Linked DNA regions of Tamandua tetradactyla. The protein of the gene in region 1 binds, or shares a complex with, the protein of each later gene. Links are inferred from orthologs where the notes say so. Each region holds a gene or a part of one and is shown on either strand. Other genes may lie near its edges. The genes, in order: POLA1 and PRIM1.

Region 1 (10,472 bases):
AGGGTGCCATAAGACTGCTACAGGCTATACATTAGATGATGCACAGGAGGAAAAAAAATAGAAAAATGTTTGCTTACTTCATATTTATATTTTTCACCAGCTTTAGCTTTTTTTAGTCTTTCTAGAGCTTCTTGGCGTCCTTTCTTTGATTTCTTTTCTCGCCGGGATCTAGAAGCTACAAAACTCCCAGAATCTGACACAGCTGGAAAAAAAAAACAAATTCACATGAGACGTTAGAAAACTGTCAGTCATCTTCCCTCAAAACAAAGGAATATTTCTAGCCAGTAGTAATAAATAATCTTAATTTTATACAAATGGATACTTTTATAATGTATAATAATCTACAAAGCTCCTGTGACTCTTCAGAAATTTGTGGTAAAATCTAGTTAAAATCCAGTTAAGTACTAGGTGCTATGAGAGCCACAAAGATGAAAAACACACATGGTTCTTGTACTCACAGAACCTATAATCTAATGTGGGCAGTAAGTAGCAAGTGATTCTACAACAATATTTGGAAGTAACACATGCCCTAACAGAGGCACAGATAAGGCACCTGGAGTTTCAAAGGAGGAATAGATTGAGGTTTGGGGGAATTTGACAATGAGGCTCTGTGGTGATTCTAGATTTTAAGGCCTATTGTTTAACTTTCACAGTTGACTTTTAAATCCATTTTCAGAAAGGTATTACGTAAAAATTAAGGAACGCAGGTACTTGATGATGACAAAATCTTGTGTGACACTCAAATAATTTCACAAAATCAGGAGCAGACCTACACGAAAAGGTTTCAGAGATATCTGAACATGACCATTGAATGAAAAGTTGGCCTCAGTGTACTCTTCAAGAATCCATTGACTCATTTAGTATACCTGACAAAATCTGTAGGTTTTCAAATTGACTTATTCTACAAACAACAATGTTCCACTCTAACAGAGTTTGGGATAGTTACAAATAAAACTGAGCTGCCTATCCTCAAGGGGTTCACAGCCAAGTAGAACAAAAGGACCTGAGACTACCACCCTAATATAAACATAGCACCATATAAGAACACAGTACTGGGAGGGGGGCGGTGCAAGGGTAGTTCAGTGGTAGAATTCTGGCCTGCCATGTGGGAGACCACGGGGTTCAATTCCCCGCCCCTGCACTCTGCCCCTGCACTCTCCCCCTCCCCCCAAAAAGAAGCAAACAAAGAAAGGAAAAACAAACAAACAAAAATTCAACAAATGGTGCTGCAATAACAGGATACTAACATGGAAAAAGAATGAAATGTGACCCCCCCCCCCACCATGCAGCATACCAAAGAAAAAAAGAACATAGTACTGAGAAAATGTAGAAAAAAGAGCCATTAAATTCTGCATGAGAAATCAGGAAAGGTTTCACAGAGAGATTTCAAATATAGGCCTAGAAAGAAGAGTAGATCTCACCATTAGAGAACAGGGTAAAAAGTGGCACAAACAGAAGAAAAGGCATGACCCAAATTAGAGGTATAAAAATGCAGCATGTATTCAGAAACCAAGAGATAAAGTCAGTATTAACACCTTCAGGTAAGTTCAATGTGAGAGTGTAGAGTGAGTGGAAGAACCAGATTTAGAAAAGCAGCACATCCCAGCTCTGCCATTTACTGGGCTACATCAGACCACCAGTTAACCTCTCTGAGCCTTGATTTGTTTTGTTTTTAAGCTGCCCAGCTTCTGAAACTGGTTGTGAGATTCCCTCCTGACAAGTCTTGCTGGGAGAGAGAGCCCACATCCCACTACTTAAGCTGAAAAGGCCAGATGCCCTTTCCCAGATTCCCTAGCAGCTAGGGCAGAAGCATATAAACTAGGCTCTACTAGTTAGAAACACCTTCTCAGACTTTAAATTAGAAGCTAATGTCACAAGGAGGTGGAAGGGGGCCTTAAAGAAGATTATGAAAGTAGCAACAGTTAGAGGAGGATTGAGTGTCTGGAGCAACAACGCCCAATGCTGCAAGGTACAAGCTAAAGCATCAAGTAGCTGGCCATTTGAGAATTACCTCCTCATTGAACCAGTTTAGTAGCACAATTTTAAGCACTGTTCCTGGCTAAGCAACCCTCACACTGGCTCTCCTGTCCTCCTGGAGTTTCTGTGAAAACCCCAATAACATTCTAATAAATTATTTTTCTATTTAAATCAGTTAGAATTGGTTCCTATAGCTTACGCTAAGGATTCTGACTAATGCAGAGCCTCAGCGCCGTCATCTATGAAATGGGGATAATCATGTCTGCTTTGTAAAGTTGGTAAGGATTAAATGAAGATGCTTATCTTACTTTGTACCTAGCAATACAAGAGGAGTCCGTGTGTGTATAGAGATGCAGGGCAGTGACATATACATATATATGTACACACTCATTCCTGGCAGTACAATGCTCTAGCTTTTAGAAAACAGAAATAAAGCAAAACAACTTTCTCAGGGAAGTCTCAACATAGTACTGCAAATAATTAAATGTTTATCATCTCAACTGCACTAAGGACAGAAACCATGTCGAGTCTACCCACCGTTTAACAGAGCCTGGCAGAATGACTATGCCTAGTAGGTACATAATAAATATTTGCTGGATGAACAAATAAATGAACTATTACATCTGCGTTTTTGATCATTAAACTCTCCCTGGTCTCTTTTTATATATAATAGCAGCCAGCTATAGACCTTTCAACTTTTCACAGCATTGTCAAGGTACCCCATTCTAACACTTAAGAAAAAAAAGGCCTAGATTTTCCTTTTTGGGGTACGTTTCCGATGTTTCGTGTAGTTAGCAAAAATAATAATAAGCATGAAAAAACCCAAGAACAAAAGTTTATGTGATTCACAATTACCATTTATAATACCACCATCTGCCCCAAAAGCAGATAGACTCACCTCCAACAGTCTTTCAGCCAACAATCTTTCAGTTCAGTCTGCTCTAAAGGAAAGATTCCAGTCACAAGTGCCCAGCAACTACTTAATCAAATACCATGACTTAAAAGGGGTCTCAAGATTGCACAGTATCATCCAGAGTGATTTCTTGATGTTCAGGGATGACGTACAGTTTTTAGAAAGAAAGGCTTAGTGGCAAATCACTGATAGAGGGCTGCAAAGACACACTCACACCTTACATCCCATTTGTAATCCAGGCCAGTTAACGCTCCAGAATAAATTGTCTTAAAAAACGGAAGGCTAGAACAAATTGAAATGTGTGATTCACAACTAGGTGAATGCAAAAGGAAGCTGATTAGGGAGCAAGTTCTCATTAATGGTGATATATCTGAGTGGCAGGAGATATGAAGCTTGAGTAAGAAAGTGAAGCATTTGATTTTAAGTTAGGAGCTCAGCGAAGAAGTCACACTTTAGTTGAACACTGTTCAAAAATCAGAAATCAGACAAAGCCATTTACATTTTTTTATTCTATTTTTGGAAATAAAAAATCATTTGTAACTGAATGATACACAAGGCATCCAAAATGCTGCCCAACTGGTGCATTTTTTTTTTCAGAAACTTCACCCGAAATGACTAGATTGTGAACACTATTTCTATGCAGCACTTGAAAAACTTTGCACTGAAGCTGAAAGAAAAAACTGTTAATGCATAAAGTAGAAACCCATTACCTAAAAATACAAAATGCATTCGTATCTAGTGACAGCACTTAGAGCTTTCTTTCCTGTTAAGTTACAACACATAACAATTTTCCTCGCAGTTCTTAGAAAGGGGGGCGCACATCTATTCAATCCTAGCTCTTAAACGGATATTTGGCACCGAAGTAGTGAAACACTTTCAGCCAAGATAGTGCCCACACCAGTCTCAAAGATAGGCCCAACACGTGCGGTGCAAGTGACCAAAAGAAATAAAAATAAAGAAGGGCAAGTGCGGTGACCCTCAGTGACAGAGGTGAAGCAGCCTCCCAAACAGAAAAGACACGCAAGGTGTTGCACGGGTTTGCTAGAAGCAAATGGCCCTGGAAGAAAGCCCGGTCCTATACTGTAAGGTCTCCCGCCCAAGACGACGGTGGTCCACGCCACCCTGAGAAAAAAATTAGGGAGAACCCCCAAAATCTGCACCACCTGCACTCCTGCCGCAGTCCCCACACTCCCAACTAGACATCCCGCGCGCGAGGCCGTCCCTCACCGTTTGCCCCCGGCTCGCAGTCGTCGCCATGCACCGGCGCCATGGTTCCGAATCTCCCGATTCCGCGCCAACCAGCCCGAAACTGGCGCGGGGGCCGAAACAGGCGCCAGCCCGAAAGCCAATCAGCGGCTCCCGAGGCTGTGGACTTCCGCCCGGAAGGCCACTTACGTGCCGCCGCGCTGGGCCCCGCCCCTGGCCTTGCCGCGGGCTCGCGTTTGGCGCCCTGTGATGACCCCTTAGGGAAGGTTAGAGCTGAGCCGGGGCCGCTGGAGAGGAGGAGAAAGAAGCGGCCGGGCGCTGGAAAGGAGCCCTCTGGAGACTCGCTGCGCAGGCGCACGCATGCTGAAGGAAAAGACTTGGGCGCGTGGGAATAGAGGCTCCCTGGTTCTGAGAGTTGATTTTCTGGGAAAAGAGGCGCGGGCGGGCAGGATAGTGGGCGTGGTCGGACTGTATTTCCAGAAGCCTGGGAAAGCGACTGCCTCCTGCTGTGCGCTCTGAGTTTTGCTAGATACTTTGCCTCTCACATTGTTAAAGGTTGTTATGTGAATTTTTTTTTAATAAGCCACCACTTAAAGGTATATACACGACCCTAATCAAATGGCCAAAACAGCGTCACTAATAAGTAAGGGGCAATCTGACCTCATATGCCTCTGATACGATGCGCTTGAAAAAAAGAACATCACCTCTGTAATCTTGCAAAAAACGTTAAACCTGAATCTAACCGTGAGGAAACAATCAGACGTATCTAAAGTGTAGGACAACTTATAAAATATCTGTATTAAACTCTTCTAAAATGTTAACGTTACGAAAGACAAAAAAAGTGGTGAGGGGATCAGAGAGACAGAACAACTTGAGCCTTGATCAGAGCTTGCATATTAAAAACAAAGCTGTAAAGAATATTATTTGAGAACATTGGGGAATTTAATATAAGCTATTGTTAGAGCGGTGTTGAATTTCTTTGGGGTGATAAGTTTTGGTTGTGCAGGAGAATGTCCGTATTCTAAGGAGATGCTTAGGCGTGACATAATTGTCTAGCAAAGAGAGATAAAGCAAATGTGGCAAAACTTTTCTGTTCGTAAATAAAAAGTTAAAGGAAAAATGATACACAGAGTGTGTATTTTACTTCTTCGAGAGAAATTATCTTAATCACCCCAAAATGAACTCAGTTATGTTACTAAAGGCCGTGAATTCATTTACCCGATGTGCTCAATAACCAATTCCTGAGACACCGGGGTTTCAGAGAGAAAGAATTTTATTACTAGGTGCACAGTAAGAGAGCAGATGGCGTAGTGACTCAAAATCTGTCTCCTTGAACTGCAGCAATTCTGATAGTTTTATTATAGAAAAGATGGGTGAGGTTTAGGATAATGACCACAGTGGCCCCAGATGATATAATTAGAGGCAATCTAATTATTGAGCATGCACAGATTGATTACATGCTTAGTCACAGAACATGTGTAAGAAAATGGCAGAACGATGTATAGGTGACTTTTAGGTTAAAGTCTAAGCTACTGCACATGTCAACCCGATCCATTTTGCTTAGATCCAGTCTCGGTTCTCAAGATTACTTTGGACTTGGAGTGGGTTAGGTCTGGGCCTCAAGACCCTTCATTAATAAACATTAGGGGCTGTCTTTAGTAATGACAAGACTTCTAAAGTTAAAAACTGGATAACTCCGTATGAATGAAGGTTAGTCACAAGGTTTTTGCAATCACAGGGGCAGAAGATAAAGGCCATACGATCATTATCAGAGATCAAGGCAGCTGGGTTACAATTTAGAGATTTCAGTATTTTCCCTCTATCTTCTCCAATATACCAGAAAGCAAAAAGGACTGTCTATGTAATGATTCAGTAATCAAAATCATCCTTTAAATCCTGATTTCTAAATTATGCTTAGATAGTTCAATTTGAAGCAGGGGAGCAGTGCTGGCAGAAGAGAGTGGCTTTTGCGCTTTCACCCCCACCCCCATTCCACCCCAGCACATGCAAAGCCTCACACCTCTCTCAACCTGGCATATTCTAGGCCTCCTCCAAGTTTTAACCACCCCAAGGTTAAGCCTGCCACAATCCCCTAGGTTCTGGTCTAGATTATCTTCACAGCTATTAAAATGAGCAATTTTATTACCATTGGCCTTTTGGTGTTCTTATAAATATCCAGTCTGGTTGTCTTGGTTTCGTAGGGCTATTGTAACAAAGTACCATAGACTAGTTGGCTTAAAGAACAGAAATGTATTGTTTCTGTAAATTCTGTAAGCCAGTAGTCTGAGTCATGGTGTCGGCAGAGGCACGCTTCTTCTGTAGGGTTCTGACAGTGATAAGGAATCCATGAAGTTCCTTCGCTGGTAGCATAATTCAATCTCTCTCTCTGCCTCTGCCTCTCTATGTCCAGACTTCCTCTCCTTATAAGGGCACCAATCATATCAGAAAGTCCTGATTGGCCCATCTTAACTAATAATATCTTCAAAACTCTTACTTATAAATAAGTTCACAATCATAGAACCAGGGGTTAGGATGCAAACATATCTTTTGGGAGTGACACAATTCCATCCATTGTACTCTGCCCTCTGGACCCTAAAAAACCATGTCCTTCCCACATACAAACACATTCACCCCATCCCAAGATCCCAAAAGTCTTAAGCCATTTCAGTAACAATTCTAAATCCAAAGTCTCATCAAAATCAGCTAGATGGGTGTGGTCCATCCCGTGGCAAAATTCCTCTTAGTCTGTGGATTTGTGAAACCTAGAAAACAAGTTTCCAAAATACAATAGTGGGACAGGCATAGGGTAGATATTCCCATTATGGAAGGGAAAAATTGGAAGTAAAAAAGGATTCATGGGTCCCAAGCAAATCTGAACCCCAGCAGGGCAAATTCTATTAGATTCCAAGTTCTGAAAGTCATCTGTGGATTGATGCTATGTCTTTGAACCTGGTGGGATTCCATTACCTAGTAGCTTCCCAGGCCTATTAAATCAGACTTTCTGAGGATGGGACTCCAATGTACACCAAGGGTGAGACCAAGTGGTCTAGATGAGGTACTGCTGAACTTTTTCTATTTCTTTTTATTTATTTTCTTTAACTTTTTTCACCGATCTTTTGTAGTTTTTTAACACATCTATCTTGTACATATTTTGTTAACTTTATCCCTAAGAATGTCATGTTTTTAATGCTATTATAAATTCGTCTTGCTTTTTAAATTTCGATTTCCAATTGTTTGTGGCTAGTTAAGATTTTGATGCCACCCCAACACACATGACCCTCTTCTCCCTAATCCTAGCTAGAGCAGTTACACTACTGTGGTACAGAATTTTTTCTTTCTTTGGCATTTCTGCCAAGTTACCATTTATGCAGAACACTTCCACTGAGCCACCCTACATTTTGTTCTTCTTTGGAGACCAGTGTGAAGAGAAGCAAAGCCATTTCCAAATCTTGGTTTTGATTCCAGGTCAAGCAAGAAGTTTCCTAACTACTTAGATTTGTTTCAAGATATTTAATTTCATTTTCCTGAATCAAAAGTTTGGAAATGTTGTATGTTGCTCTTTTCCTCATATTTTCCTCGTATTTTCACAGGAGGTTCAACTGTGTTTCTCTTATAATCACAAATTGCATTGTCTATGGTCAAGGACATTTAGAGGTGGAAAAGTTCTTAAAAATCCTTGAACTTGTTGTCTCTCCAGCAAAATAACTTCTTCAGTGAGTTGTTGATTATATACCAAGAATGGAATGATCATATGGTAAGATTTTCATGTTTGTTTGTTGTTATGTTTTAAAAAAATTTTAATTATAAAATAATAATAATAATAATAAATTCTTCAGAGTCACAGTTGAAAATTAAGATTCCCTTTTACCTTGGTAAGTGAGAAAATGGTGAAAGGGTAAGGGAAAAAGAGAAAAATACAAGGAACTGGGTTCTAGGGTTAAGCACAAAAATGTTGTATCATGAAAGGCCTGCTGGCAGACAGCAAAAAGCCTGGGAAGTATATAGAGGTAATTACTAAACATATCATGTTCAGTTTCTTGCCAAGACAGTTCTACACCAGGCTGAAAGTTTTTCTGTTAGTGAGAAAAATGTCTGCAACCACCCCCCAGCAATCCATTAAAATAATTGTTATGAGGAAGTGAAACAATTTCCAAGTTACTTGTCTTGTCACTCTAGCATCTTTGAGAAGTTTTATTAATGGCCTAATGGATCAACAAACTTTGAAGACATTTCTGTGCTTGGATCTAAGTTGTTTTACCAAGTTACTGCAAAATAAAACTAATGTAGTAGTTTGAAGTTATATGAACCCCAGAAAAAAACATGTTTTTAAATCTAATCCACTTCTGTGGGTGTAATCCTACTGTAAGCAGTATATTTTTTTTTTTTTTTTTTTTAAAGGAAAGACAGAGAGAAGGAAGGAAGGATAGAAGGAAGGAAGGAAGGAAGAAAGGGAAACATCTTTAAACATTTTCTTGTTTCATATGTTGATCACTTCCTGGAAGATGGCGGCTTAGTAAGACGCGCGGATCTTAGTTTCTTCTCCAGGACACCTACTAGGGGAGTAGAAACGATACAGAAAGCGCCCAAAGCCACAACAGAGATAAAAAAGACAGCGTACCCCATCCTGGAACGGCTGGCTGGCTGAGAGAAGCAGCTCGGGTGAGATCGCCGAGGCGCGCGGGCCTTACCGGGCGGGGTGGCAAGCGGCCGGAGTTACTCCCTTCCCCCTTCCCGGGCCGGCTGGGAGAATTGGAGAGGCGGTCCCCTGAAACAAAGACGGCTGGCGCCCACACCACGCGCAGCCCCCGGACCAACTGAGAGAATTGGATCGGAAACCCCCAGCCCGCGGAGAACGGTGACGGGTGGGGGAGGCCCCTTCCAAACCCGTGACTCCCGGGGAACGTGCACTCTCTCGGGCGGGCCGCTGCCGCTGGCGCCCTCCCGCCACACTTGTTGCCCAGGGCCGACTAGGAAATTCGGACGGGCTCTTTCCCTGGCTGCGGCGACCAGCAACCCGCCCTGCGTTCGGACCGAGGGCCGGCTCAAGCCGCTTCGGCTAGCGAACCCCCAGGACGGCGAGAGTTTTCCAAAGTTTAAGGTCCCACAGCACCTTTTACTGGTGGGACCCGCAGACAAACGTGTGCCACGAGCGCCACCTACTGGGCAGGATAAGAAAAACAGAACCCAGAGATTTCACAGAAAAGTATTACAACCTTGCTGGGTCCAACACCAAGAGAAATCTGAATAAATGCCCAGACGCCAGCAGCAGAAGATAACTGTCCACGCTCAAAAGATTGAGAATATGGCCCAGTCAAAGGAACAAACCAATAGCTCAAATGAGACACAAGAGCTGAGACAACTAATCCTGAATATACGAACAGAAATGGAAAACCTCTTCAAAAATGAAATCGATAAATTGAGGGAGGACATGAAGAGGACATGGGCTGAACATAAAGAAGAAATAGAAAAACTGAAAAAACAAATCGCAGAACTTATGGAAGTGAAGGATAAAGTAGCAAACATAGAAAAAATAATGGATAGCTACAATGATAGATTTAAAGAGACAGAAGATAGAATTAGTGATTTGGAGGATGGAACATCTGAATCCCAAAAAGAAACAGAAACTATCGGGAAAAGAATGGAGAAATTTGAACAGGGTATCAGGGAACTCAAGGACAATATGAACCGCACAAATATACGTGTTGTGGGTGTCCCAGAAGGAGAAGAGAAGGGAAAAGGAGGAGAAAAACTAATGGAAGAAATTTTCACTGAAAATTTCCCAACTCTTATGAAAGACCTAAAATTACAGATCCAAGAAGTGCAGCGCACCCCAAAGAGATTAGACCCAAATAGGCGTTCTCCAAGACACTTACTAGTTAGAATGTCAGAGGTCAAAGAGAAAGAGAAGATCTTGAAAGCAGCAAGAGAAAAACAATCCATTACATACAAGGGAAACCCAATAAGACTTTGTGTAGATTTCTCAGCAGAAACCATGGAAGCTAGAAGACAGTGGGATGATATATTTAAAATACTAAAAGAGAAAAACTGCCAACCAAGACTCCTATATCCAGCAAAATTATCCTTCAAAAATGAGGGAGAAATTAAAACATTCTCAGACAAAAAGTCACTGAAAGAATTTGTGACCAAGAGACCAGCTCTGCAAGAAATACTAAAGGGAGCACTAGAGTCAGATACAAAAAGACAGAAGAGAGAGATATGGAAAAGAGTGTAGAAAGAAGGAAAATCAGATATGATATATATAATACAAAAGGCAAAATGTTAGAGGAAAATATTATCCAAACAGTAATAACACTAAATGTCAATGGACTGAATTCCCCAATCAAAAGACATAGATTGGCAGAATGGATTAAAAAAC
Region 2 (9,974 bases), on another chromosome or scaffold:
CAACTGGGCTCCTGGCTCTGCAGCTTGGGAAATGTTTGCAGAGAAAAATACCAGATTAATTTTCTCATTTCAGAAATAATAACTGTAGAAACTTTTAAAATATAGAAAAAGTCACAAAAAAATTTTAAATCACCCCAATCTCTTCTCTGTTAACATTTGGAATACCTACTACAAGGGAGGAACCACACTAAAACTAAAAAACAAAGATGAATAAGAAGAAAGGCTCTGCCCTAAGGAAACGAATACCATACAGTGCAACAGGTCCTAGAGAAGAGGTTTTTAAAATGTACTATCATATACAGCAAAAGCAGCAAGTAGTAAATACTAACCACAGTATGATTATATTTATACATGTAAAGTATGATCCCCATTCATATACATTTTTAAAACAGGCAAAATAATATCACATATTGTTTATAAAAAATACATGCGTATAAAAGCAATTGAATGGTACTGAAAATCATATGCCAAATTCAGGAAAATGGTTACCTTCAGGAAGAGAGGAAAGAGTTTTCAAGGGCCCTTAACCGTATCTGAAAAAAAAATACAGAAAATGTAAATATTTGTCAAATCTAGGCAATGGATAAAAGGGTGTTATTTATTCTCTGCATACTTGTAGTAGTTCATAATAAAGATCAGGAGATACAGGAAGACCTATCTCTGAAAGAAGGAAGAAAAAGGCTTCACAAAAGAGGGAAACTAATCGGAAGACATTCATCAGCAGAAAATGGCATTATGAATAGCATGTACGAAACCTTGGAATCATGGAAGAGCATCAGGTAAAGGCTGTTTTATATGACTAAAGCAAAGCTGCAAGGGAGGGAATCAAAGAACTAACTGGAGTCTGATAGGAATGAATCCGGGGAGCCACTGAAGAATCTTACCCCTACAACAGTGGAAAAGATGGAGCAATACTGGAAATGGGGAGAACAATCAGGAGTCTACTGCACCAATCTAAATTAGAGACAATAAGAATCTGGACTCAGGCAGTGGAAATGGGGATGGAGAGGAGAGGACATATTCCAGGAATGTTAGAAATAAAAGGGATTATTAACACCTTAGGGGTAGGAGTGAGGCAGAGGAAGGGCCCACCAACTGGGTTGGTGGTGATGGTGCCAGTAAACAAGTTCAGAAAAACAGGAGGAGGAACCATCTATTCCTTCCTCAACTCCCTGAAGTCTGTATGCTGCCCTGACTATTCCATAAAACAAATCTGGCAGAGGTCATCAGTAACTTCCTGATTGCCCAAGCTGAGTTCTCTTCTCAGTCCTTATCTTAATTGACCATGTTTATCCTTTCACATTTCTCTTGTGCTCCCTTTGCCCCTGTAAAATCATTCTCTCCTAGCTTTCCTGCTTCTACTACCATTCGTTCTCATTGTCCTTTGTTGGTTTCCCCTCCTCTACTCAATTTCTGAAGTCAGTACCCTTAAGATTTTTTTTCCAGGTCCTTCCTCTCTTATCACTGCACACAGCCTCCTTGTTTGGCAATCTCTCTGAGTTAGACACTTGGACATCCCTAACTTCAGTCCAGATCTAGCCCCTCAGATCTAACTATCTGCTGGACATCTGCACTGGGTTCATCCATTTCATTCCGTAAATATAGGGTCCCTATTATGCTATAGATACACAGGTGAGTAAAATAAACATGATATTTGAATTCTTAGAGCTTACAGGCTTAGTAGGGAAAATAAACATGTTCTCACAAATAAATACATAGCTGAACACTATGATAAAGGATATGAAAGAAAAGTATATGGTGCTTACAGGGAGTATCTTAGCAGTACCTCCAACTCAACTTATTTAAAATAGAAATGATACCTCACTGCAAACTGATTCTTCTCCTTATACTCATGTATTTCATATCTGCACATTTATTCAACACATAGAAAAGTTAACTAGTGACTACTGGGTGCCAGAAAACCCCCTTCCATCAGGTTACCAAGCCTGAAATCTGGCTATCATCCTAGACCCCTTCCTGTCCCTCACTCCCCATGTCCAATCAATATTAATTCTACCTCCTAAAGTCAGTTATGTCCACCCAATTCCCTTCATCTCCACTTTTCTACCTTTGTTCAAACCATGAGTACCTCTCACCTGGATTATAGCAAGTTTCCCAGGAGCGCTCTACCTCAGTTGCTCTCTCCCTTCTGTTGTCCTCCACAGGGCTCCATAGTTTATTTCCAGAGTTTACTTCTAAAACACAACTCTGATTATGTTCCTCCCCTTTTTAAAACCTTCCCATAGCTCCTACTGTCTTCACAACAAATCCAAATTCCCGTGGAGGAACAAGGCTTGATGTTGGATTTGAATCTGCTAGAGCCATCCTTTATTTCAAGTATTCTGCAAGAAGAAAGCTAGACCCAAATAGTATGTAGCTTTATGATTTGTCAGAAAAACCTACACGGTATATATAGTGCCAGATTACTTATTATAAGTATGCTGAGATCATTTACAGCTTAGTAAAAACATTCCATTTTCTATACCAAACCCAATATATATAATTAAAGAGCAATTTCAATATCCTGTAAGACATGTTTTATTGCCTTGGTGGTCATCACTTCCTTTGTGGTTAAAGGAAACATTCTTGTGACATTTAACTAAAGCTTTTTTATTAAATGAATATGAGGGTCTCCTTGCTACTTTTCAGTATTTTGTGGTAACAAGAGCCAGGACCTTTCATGCTTAAACTTAGATGGGGGGGGCAGGGTGCAAGGGTAGTTCAGTGGTAGAATTCTCACCTGCCGTGTGAGAGACCCAGGTTCAATTCATGGCCCATGCACTTCCCAAAACAAACAAATAAGCAAACAACAACCAAGAAAACAAAAACTTAGATATGACCTTGATCCCATTTAGATAACCTCCCTTTGTTTATTATACTCTTGTATCAACAGAACATATTCTCTAACCTCCTATTCCTTATCTAACTGAGAAGAAAAATAACTTGCACAGAAATACTTCAAATTTTCAAACAACTTACTTGTTTCAAAAAGATTATTCACTTCCAAGATTTCTCATCAAATACTGATATGATCAGAATTTTATTTTCATTATATCCAAAGCTTAACAAAAGCAGAAGGGAAGTAATTTTTTTCCACACTCCTTAGCTTGGTATGCAAAACCACTGTGGCTGACTCTAAGGATGCCTTCCCCTGAAGTTTGAGCTCTGTCACTAGGGAACTGTTGACAGTTTCTTTCATGTGCCATACCATTAAGACCTTTGACCCTGTGTTCCCTATAACTGCTCTGCTTAGAAATTTCCTCCGTTGCAACCTAGCAAACCACACTCATCTTTCCAGGAGCACTTCAATTCTACCTTGTCTAGGAACTATTGCTGTCCCCTATTTAAAAGGAAAATTCACCACTCATTATTTTGTGATTTTAAGTTTACCCCTTATATATTTCTAGTAAAGTGTGGTGAGGGTAAAAAAAAAAAAAAAAAAAAAAAAAACCACAATAATTATTTTAATAGTTGGCACAGAAATTCTTTTAGGGAGGAAACTTTCTTTAGTAAACTAATACAATTTGTCTCTAGAGTGGAAGGTGATCACTTCTCACCCTTTTGGCCAAGACCAGCTGTAGGAAGGTGACACCTCAGGGGCACAAGAGAAAGCCAAACTGCTCTACAAAAGAACAGGAACCTGGCAGTAAGAAGTTAGTTGGCAGAGGGAGAAGAGATAAGAAAGAGGATAGTCAAGTATGGCTGGTCTTTGAAAAACAGGGGTGTCTAATTCTCCATATTAGATTGTTAATGTAAAGTCGCTTTCAAATTTCTCAAACCTTCAATTAATATGGTACACTCACAATGGTGTGGGTTTGTGTGTGTGTGAAAATTATAGTAATGGGTAAGTTCAATACCTTAGTATTAAGACAGAAAAAGGACAACTTGTGCAAGATGATGAGTAATTTCTTAACTGAACTGACTTTATTCCGGAGGAGGTCCGGGTTACATCTTGAGAAAGTGAGCTCACTGTAGATTTGCAGAAATCTAGACATCATGGACATGCTCCAAATCGTGGACTTGGGGTCTAAGCCAATTTTATCCAAGTCTTAAGGAACATGCTTATGCTAATAGACAGTTGGGTTACAAATACATCCATTACCCTTCATTGCCATATTTGATTTGTGTCTTACTCCTACTAGGCTATAACTTCCTTGATAGTAGATATTATGTCATTAAATTTTTTTCTCCCCAGAGCCTACCAAAGTGTCCAACATATACGTTCATTAACTATTTGTTGAGTAAATCAATGAATTAAAGAATAACTGAATGGACCATACTTTTACCAAAAACACCACCCTTTTGGATGCTAAAAAATATCAAAAATAACAATAGATGTTAAGAAGAAGGGAAGCCCATGAAGACACTTGGGGTGAACCAGTTTGCAAGGAACTTGGGAAGAGACCTGGTGCTGACCAAAGAAGGCCAAAGTAGAGTCACAGAGAATAAGACCTATGGAGAAAGGGGCTTTGCATCTTTGGAAGTGAAAGAACAATGGCCTGGAAATCAGGAGAGGAAAACAAACTGAATGGCAACACTGCCCCCCAGCGGCATTTGGGATAAAGGCCTCATGGCAGAGCACTTAAAGGGAATAAGATGATCAATTTCAAGATTAGGAATATAAATCCAAAATTTACAAGAGACTATTCTCTCCTTCTTCCCTACCATCACTGTGAAAACTAAAATTTATGAAAATGATGGTTTTCACGTGACACCACACTGCTATCATTAATAGACTGCCCACCTCAATCACAATTGCAAAGAGATGTATCTTTACCCGCCTGGCAGATGTGCTACATCAATAGCAAACGGGATCCTTTCACACTTGTAAAGCATTTCATGATTCTCCAGCTGCCTTTAATTTATATTTCAGTAATCCTGGGTGCTCTATTGGCCTCATAACTCCATGAAGAACTAATTCCCAAACCCTCTTAAAATGATATCAATTTTCATTGTTTCAATGTGTACATTTATAAAGTTAGCAAGGAACATTATTTTCCTTCATCTTTAAAACCTAAGCCGATATGCTCACCTTTTGAATAAGCTTTCATCTTTCCAGAATGGTTCTTGACGCTTCCTCTGCCCATTTGCCCTAGTGTGGCTGTCAGTGAGCGCAGACCGCCTCCCGGGCTGACCTCGAAGAGGGAACTACAATTCCCGGCGGCCCCGCCAGGAGGCGGGCCGCGGTCGCAGCGCGCCAGCGCGCCTGCGCCCTAGTGTAAACTCTAGCTGATTCCCGCCAATTCCTGCCCTAGTCCTACCTGAGTTGAGCTCGTTACTCTATGGAGACGTTTGATCCCTCCGAGCTGCCTGAACTGCTTAACCTTTATTACCGGAGGCTCTTTCCCTACGCCCAGTACTATCGCTGGCTCAACTATGGCGGAGGTGATGGACGCGGGGAAGGAGTCGGGTCGGGAGGGAGTGTGAGAAGGTTCCGGGCGGGATGTTCTTGGAATGAATGTTAGGTGTGCCTTCCGTGCGCCTAGGCGTTGTTCCGGGCGCCTTCATGCATTATCTCGAACCCTCACCACCTTTAAGATGGACATGGGCCGAAAGAGAGTATGATAACCAGACTACGACCGCACAGCAAAAGGTAGGGCCGCTGCTCCTACACCACCTGGTCAGGCTCACATTTGGAGCCCGATTTACCTGCTGCGGTCCGTAAACCAGGGGTTTGTGGGATTTTGTAGCCTGAACCTGCAAAGGTGTGATCTGCATCGGGGACAGACCAGTGTCTCCAGGAGAAGGAAAAGTACTTTCATCTTCGCAGCTGATTTCGTTTATTAGCATCCACCAAGGAAACATTATATTGTAAAATATTTCTGCATCTTTTTCCTCATTTTTGTTTTTTCCTAGCAGATAATGGTAAACCCCTTCAAATTAGAGACCAAGTCTTGTGCTTTGGTGTACATCAGCACAGTGTTGGGCACAGGGAGCTCATTAAATATCTTGTTGGTTAATGTCATATGCCCTGAAATGAAGAAAGTACCTAATTAATTCTAAAATGTAAATTTATTTTGCAGTGATAAAGAATTATTTTCAACACCGTGAATTTTCATTCACTTTGAAAGATGATATTTACGTTCGCTACCAATCCTTCAACAACCAGGGTGAACTGGAAAAGGAGATGCAGAAAATGAATCCATACAAGATTGACATAGGTGCAGTATATTCCCACAGAGTAAGGAATCTTTTTTATTGTATTTTGTTGTTTTGCTTTTTAAACCAAGGATCAGTTGATGCCGCCAGCATTTTGGGATAAATTTTTTAGAGTTCACTTAAGTTCAGGGCACTATTAAGGCCTGCTTATTTAGCTTTTGCAAGTAGATTATAATCTTTTGTTCTTTGACACTGTACATTACTGATTGGAAATCAATTGGAAGTAAATTGGTTGCATTCTCACTAGAGCAACAACAACAACAAAAGTGGATATCTGGCTAAAAGACTAGCAAGGAAGGCAATAGTAGGGAACCAAAAAAAGAGCTGTATTTTCTCCCAGCACTGGAGTTATTCCTGATTCCTCTCTCATACTCCCACATCCTTTAGATTAGGAATTCCCTTTGACTGTACCATATATATATCAAAATCCACCCACTGCTACCAGTGCTTCTACCATCATCTTCTCTCACCTGAATTGCTATAAAAACCAAATAGTTTGTCCCTCTGTATTCTGAAGTCTGTTCTCAACACAGGCTTCCGTGTGAACCTGTTAAAGACAAGTCAGATTCCTGGAGCCTGCACATGCCCAAAAAAAAAAAAAAAAAACTTCCTAAAAAATAAAATTAAAAAAGGGTACACGGGTGATTTAATGTTAGAATGCATGCCTTACATGCAGGAAACCCAGGTTCGATCCCCAGACCATGCACCCAAAAATAAATGAATGTATGAATGAATGAATGTCAAGTTCTGTGGTTCCTGTCAAAACTATTCTCCATTGGCTCCTCATTTCATCCAAAATAAAAGCCCTTCTCTCCCCCTGACTCACTACTCCAGCCATACTGGCCCTTGCTCAAGTTTGAGCTAGGCCACTTTATTGGGGAATCACTGCTATCAGTTTTTCTAGATCTTTTCCACTAGGGCAGAAAACTTTGGTTTCATCACTGATCTATTCCTAGGGCCTAGAAAAGTGTCTGGCACTCAGATATTCTTGAGATTTCCTCATAATCTGGTCAAATTCTTCAGAATCTTCCAGTCTTCTGCATGGGTTGTTAGTAGAAGGTTAAAGAAATGGGTCCTCAACATTCCATATGTAAATGTCCAGTTAATCCCCCTAATTATAGTAGAATACTCCTTTGACTGTGCCTGTTGTTCCCCCATGCAGAGAGCCTCTGTTCTACATTCTCCAGATGATAAATTAGGTGTCTATTGCTAGGTCACAGGAAGAGCAGTTTCCCAACTCTGCAAAGTAAATATAACAAGCTTGGGAGCTAACAGATTCTTGAATAGGTTTTGAACCAGTCCTTCTGTTTTTAATCTCAGCCTCACCACCAACCCCCTCCATCATCCTTCACATACACACACTCCAGAAATACCTTTTTCTGAGCCCTTTGGGGATCCTGAGCTATGAATTGGGTTGCTTCTTAGCTCTTCTTATTGATAGTTTAAGATTTGGCTTTTATGAGTCTCCTCAGTTACCACTCCCTTCAGAATTCTAGTTATAAAAATTGTGAAGGTGTTGTCTCCTCTTTGGTTCTTTTTTAAAAGGGTTATGCCTTCTTGAAAAATGCTTTTCTATTGTTTTTAAAGGGATCTGAAAGGAACAGAAGTATCTGTATTCAGTCCGCCTTCTTTACCTGGGAGACCATAGCCTCTTGACTATAAAGGCCCAGTTCAAACGCATTGGGAAGATCCTTTTGAATGACTGAACGTTTTAAAATAATTACGTCTTTATTACTTGTATATACAGTAACAAGTAAAGATCTTTAAAACCCGTTGTGGGGAAAATGGACAGTTCAATGGTAGAATTCTCACCTGCCATGCAGGAGACCTGGGTTCAATTCCCAGCCCATGCACCCAAAAAAAAACAAAACAAATTTGCTGTGGTATGCATATTACATATCTGCTTCTCTGTGTGTGTATTTATACAGAAAAACATGTAGGGAGACACATTTTTTAAAAAAAAACCTTTGTTTTAGGGTATTTATTATTTATAAGTACCTTTTCATATCAGAGACCTGAAAAGTTTCATTATAATTCCTATCAATCAACAAATATTTATGGTGAATATATTTATCAAACTCTTATGAAAATTAATTTGTCATCAATTCTGGATTTGGGGATCCAAGATAACGAAACTTCATTAACATAGACTTAGATTTTATGGTTTCTCCATTTCCCTTTGGCCACTTTTTTTTCTATGTGAGTAGAAAATTAGCAGATATAACAGCATGGCAACTCTTATAGAAACTGATAAATATTTTATATTTGTAGCCTAGTCAATATAATACTGTGAAGCTGGGAGCTTTCCAGGCTCAGGAAAAAGAGCTGGTGTTTGACATTGATATGACAGACTATGACGATGTGAGGAGATGTTGTAGGTAAGCACCAGGTGCCCTGCTGTTGGGGTGGGTGATGTCACTGACAGTGAATAATGATGCCTCTCTGTTCCAGTTCCGCAGACATATGTTCTAAGTGTTGGACCCTCATGACAATGGCCATACACATCATCGACCGAGCGTTGAAGGGCAAGTATCAGCAATATCTGAGTGGGGTCAGATGAATCTGTTTCTTCTGGATATTGGATTATCTGTACCATTTTATAGTATGATTTCTTGAATTTTTAATGTCTCCTTGAAACATATGGTAGGGAAATAAAAGGTTGAAATAAAGTTACAGTTGAAATTCTAATAAAGCTGGTGAGCAAACTAGTATATTTTTACCCAAGTCAGTCATTTATAGGGCAACTCTATGTACTAGGTGCTGTTCCAGATAAAGAAAATATGAGAGATAACAATTCCTCCCTCAATTAGGTCACACACTCTAAGGACACAGGTACATTTGTATTAAGTAATACGCACAGGGTGCTCTGGGGATATAGAGCCACAGGAGTGTATACAGGAATGGGAAGAGAATGGGTCAGAAAAGGCTTCCCAGAAGAAGTGGCTATGATGATGATAATAATGACAGCTGACTCTTATATAAGGCTTACTGTGTCCAAGGTACTGTTCTAAAACACTTGAAATATATTAACTGTTTTAAAATCCTGAGATGAGTCTTTAAAGATATAAATGACAGTTAGTCAGGGAGAAAAATAGAAGTGCTGGGGCATGAAGAAATTCTTGGCAGAGACCAGGATGGCTAAAGACATGAAGGTAAGAGTGTGGGGCACTTGGGAAACTACAAATAATTCAGTATGGTTACAGGGAAAGCACATGTGAATAAGAGATTTAAAATGAAGCTAAGGAAGTAAGCAAGAACAAGGATTTTGTAGGTTTGTTTTAAATCCTTTTCTTCCTTTCCTCAGAGGACTTTGGATTCAAGCATCGTCTCTGGGTATATTCTGGAAGGAGAGGCGTTCATTGTTGGGTCTGTGATGAATCAGTTAGAAAATTGTCCTCCGCAGTACGTTCGGGGATAGTTGAGTATTTGAGTCTTTTAAAGGTAAGATCCTCTTAATGTTAATTTACATTTCTTTTATGCCAGGTGTTACCAAGCCTCATATGTTTCATAACAAAATTAAACCATCCTTTGTAGCATCCACATTCTAGAGTAAATGATCTTATCAATAAATCAGTTAAGATCACAGCTACATTTTTTAGATATTTCATATTTTACAATAAGTATCCGCCTTTGCAGTAAAAGAATAATTAATTTACTTTTCTCGTTCACTTATTTCAAGAAAAGTTAACACCAAAAGTTACAGGTATTAAGACTACATGAAATAGCATTAAAGCTTCTATACTTTGACAGAAATAAGAAATGTCTTTGCATTTATATAATTTTAATGTAGTAATAGAACTTTTAAAAAATAGCTT

What was found.
Region 2: the proteins of POLA1 (region 1) and PRIM1 are in contact, whole or in part, in a cryo-EM structure (PDB 7OPL), measured with the Homo sapiens proteins. The link is inferred for Tamandua tetradactyla from reciprocal best matches to the Homo sapiens genes POLA1 and PRIM1. Residues at the interface, in NP_058633.2 of Homo sapiens: Tyr439, Ala440, Pro447, Glu448, Lys449, Ser450, Phe876, Thr877, Thr878, Gln880, Leu906; in NP_000937.1 of Homo sapiens: Asn92, Thr93, Val94, Lys95, Leu96, Gly97, Ala98.

Annotation. Positions count from the first base shown.
Region 1 is NC_135353.1:149,483,977-149,494,448, forward strand, and holds the start of POLA1 (DNA polymerase alpha catalytic subunit), read right to left. Parts: upstream 4,218-10,472; 5' UTR 4,161-4,217; coding exon 4,118-4,160; intron 203-4,117; coding exon 78-202; intron 1-77. UniProt on the Homo sapiens protein: Catalytic subunit of the DNA polymerase alpha complex (also known as the alpha DNA polymerase-primase complex) which plays an essential role in the initiation of DNA synthesis.
Region 2 is NC_135333.1:123,842,515-123,852,488, reverse strand, and holds the start of PRIM1 (DNA primase small subunit), read left to right. Parts: upstream 1-5,212; 5' UTR 5,213-5,282; coding exon 5,283-5,385; intron 5,386-6,023; coding exon 6,024-6,181; intron 6,182-8,430; coding exon 8,431-8,537; intron 8,538-8,610; coding exon 8,611-8,684; intron 8,685-9,463; coding exon 9,464-9,600; intron 9,601-9,974. Other genes in the region: 17-beta-hydroxysteroid dehydrogenase type 6-like, read right to left, coding at 5,033-5,087. UniProt on the Homo sapiens protein: Catalytic subunit of the DNA primase complex and component of the DNA polymerase alpha complex (also known as the alpha DNA polymerase-primase complex - primosome/replisome) which play an essential role in the initiation of DNA synthesis.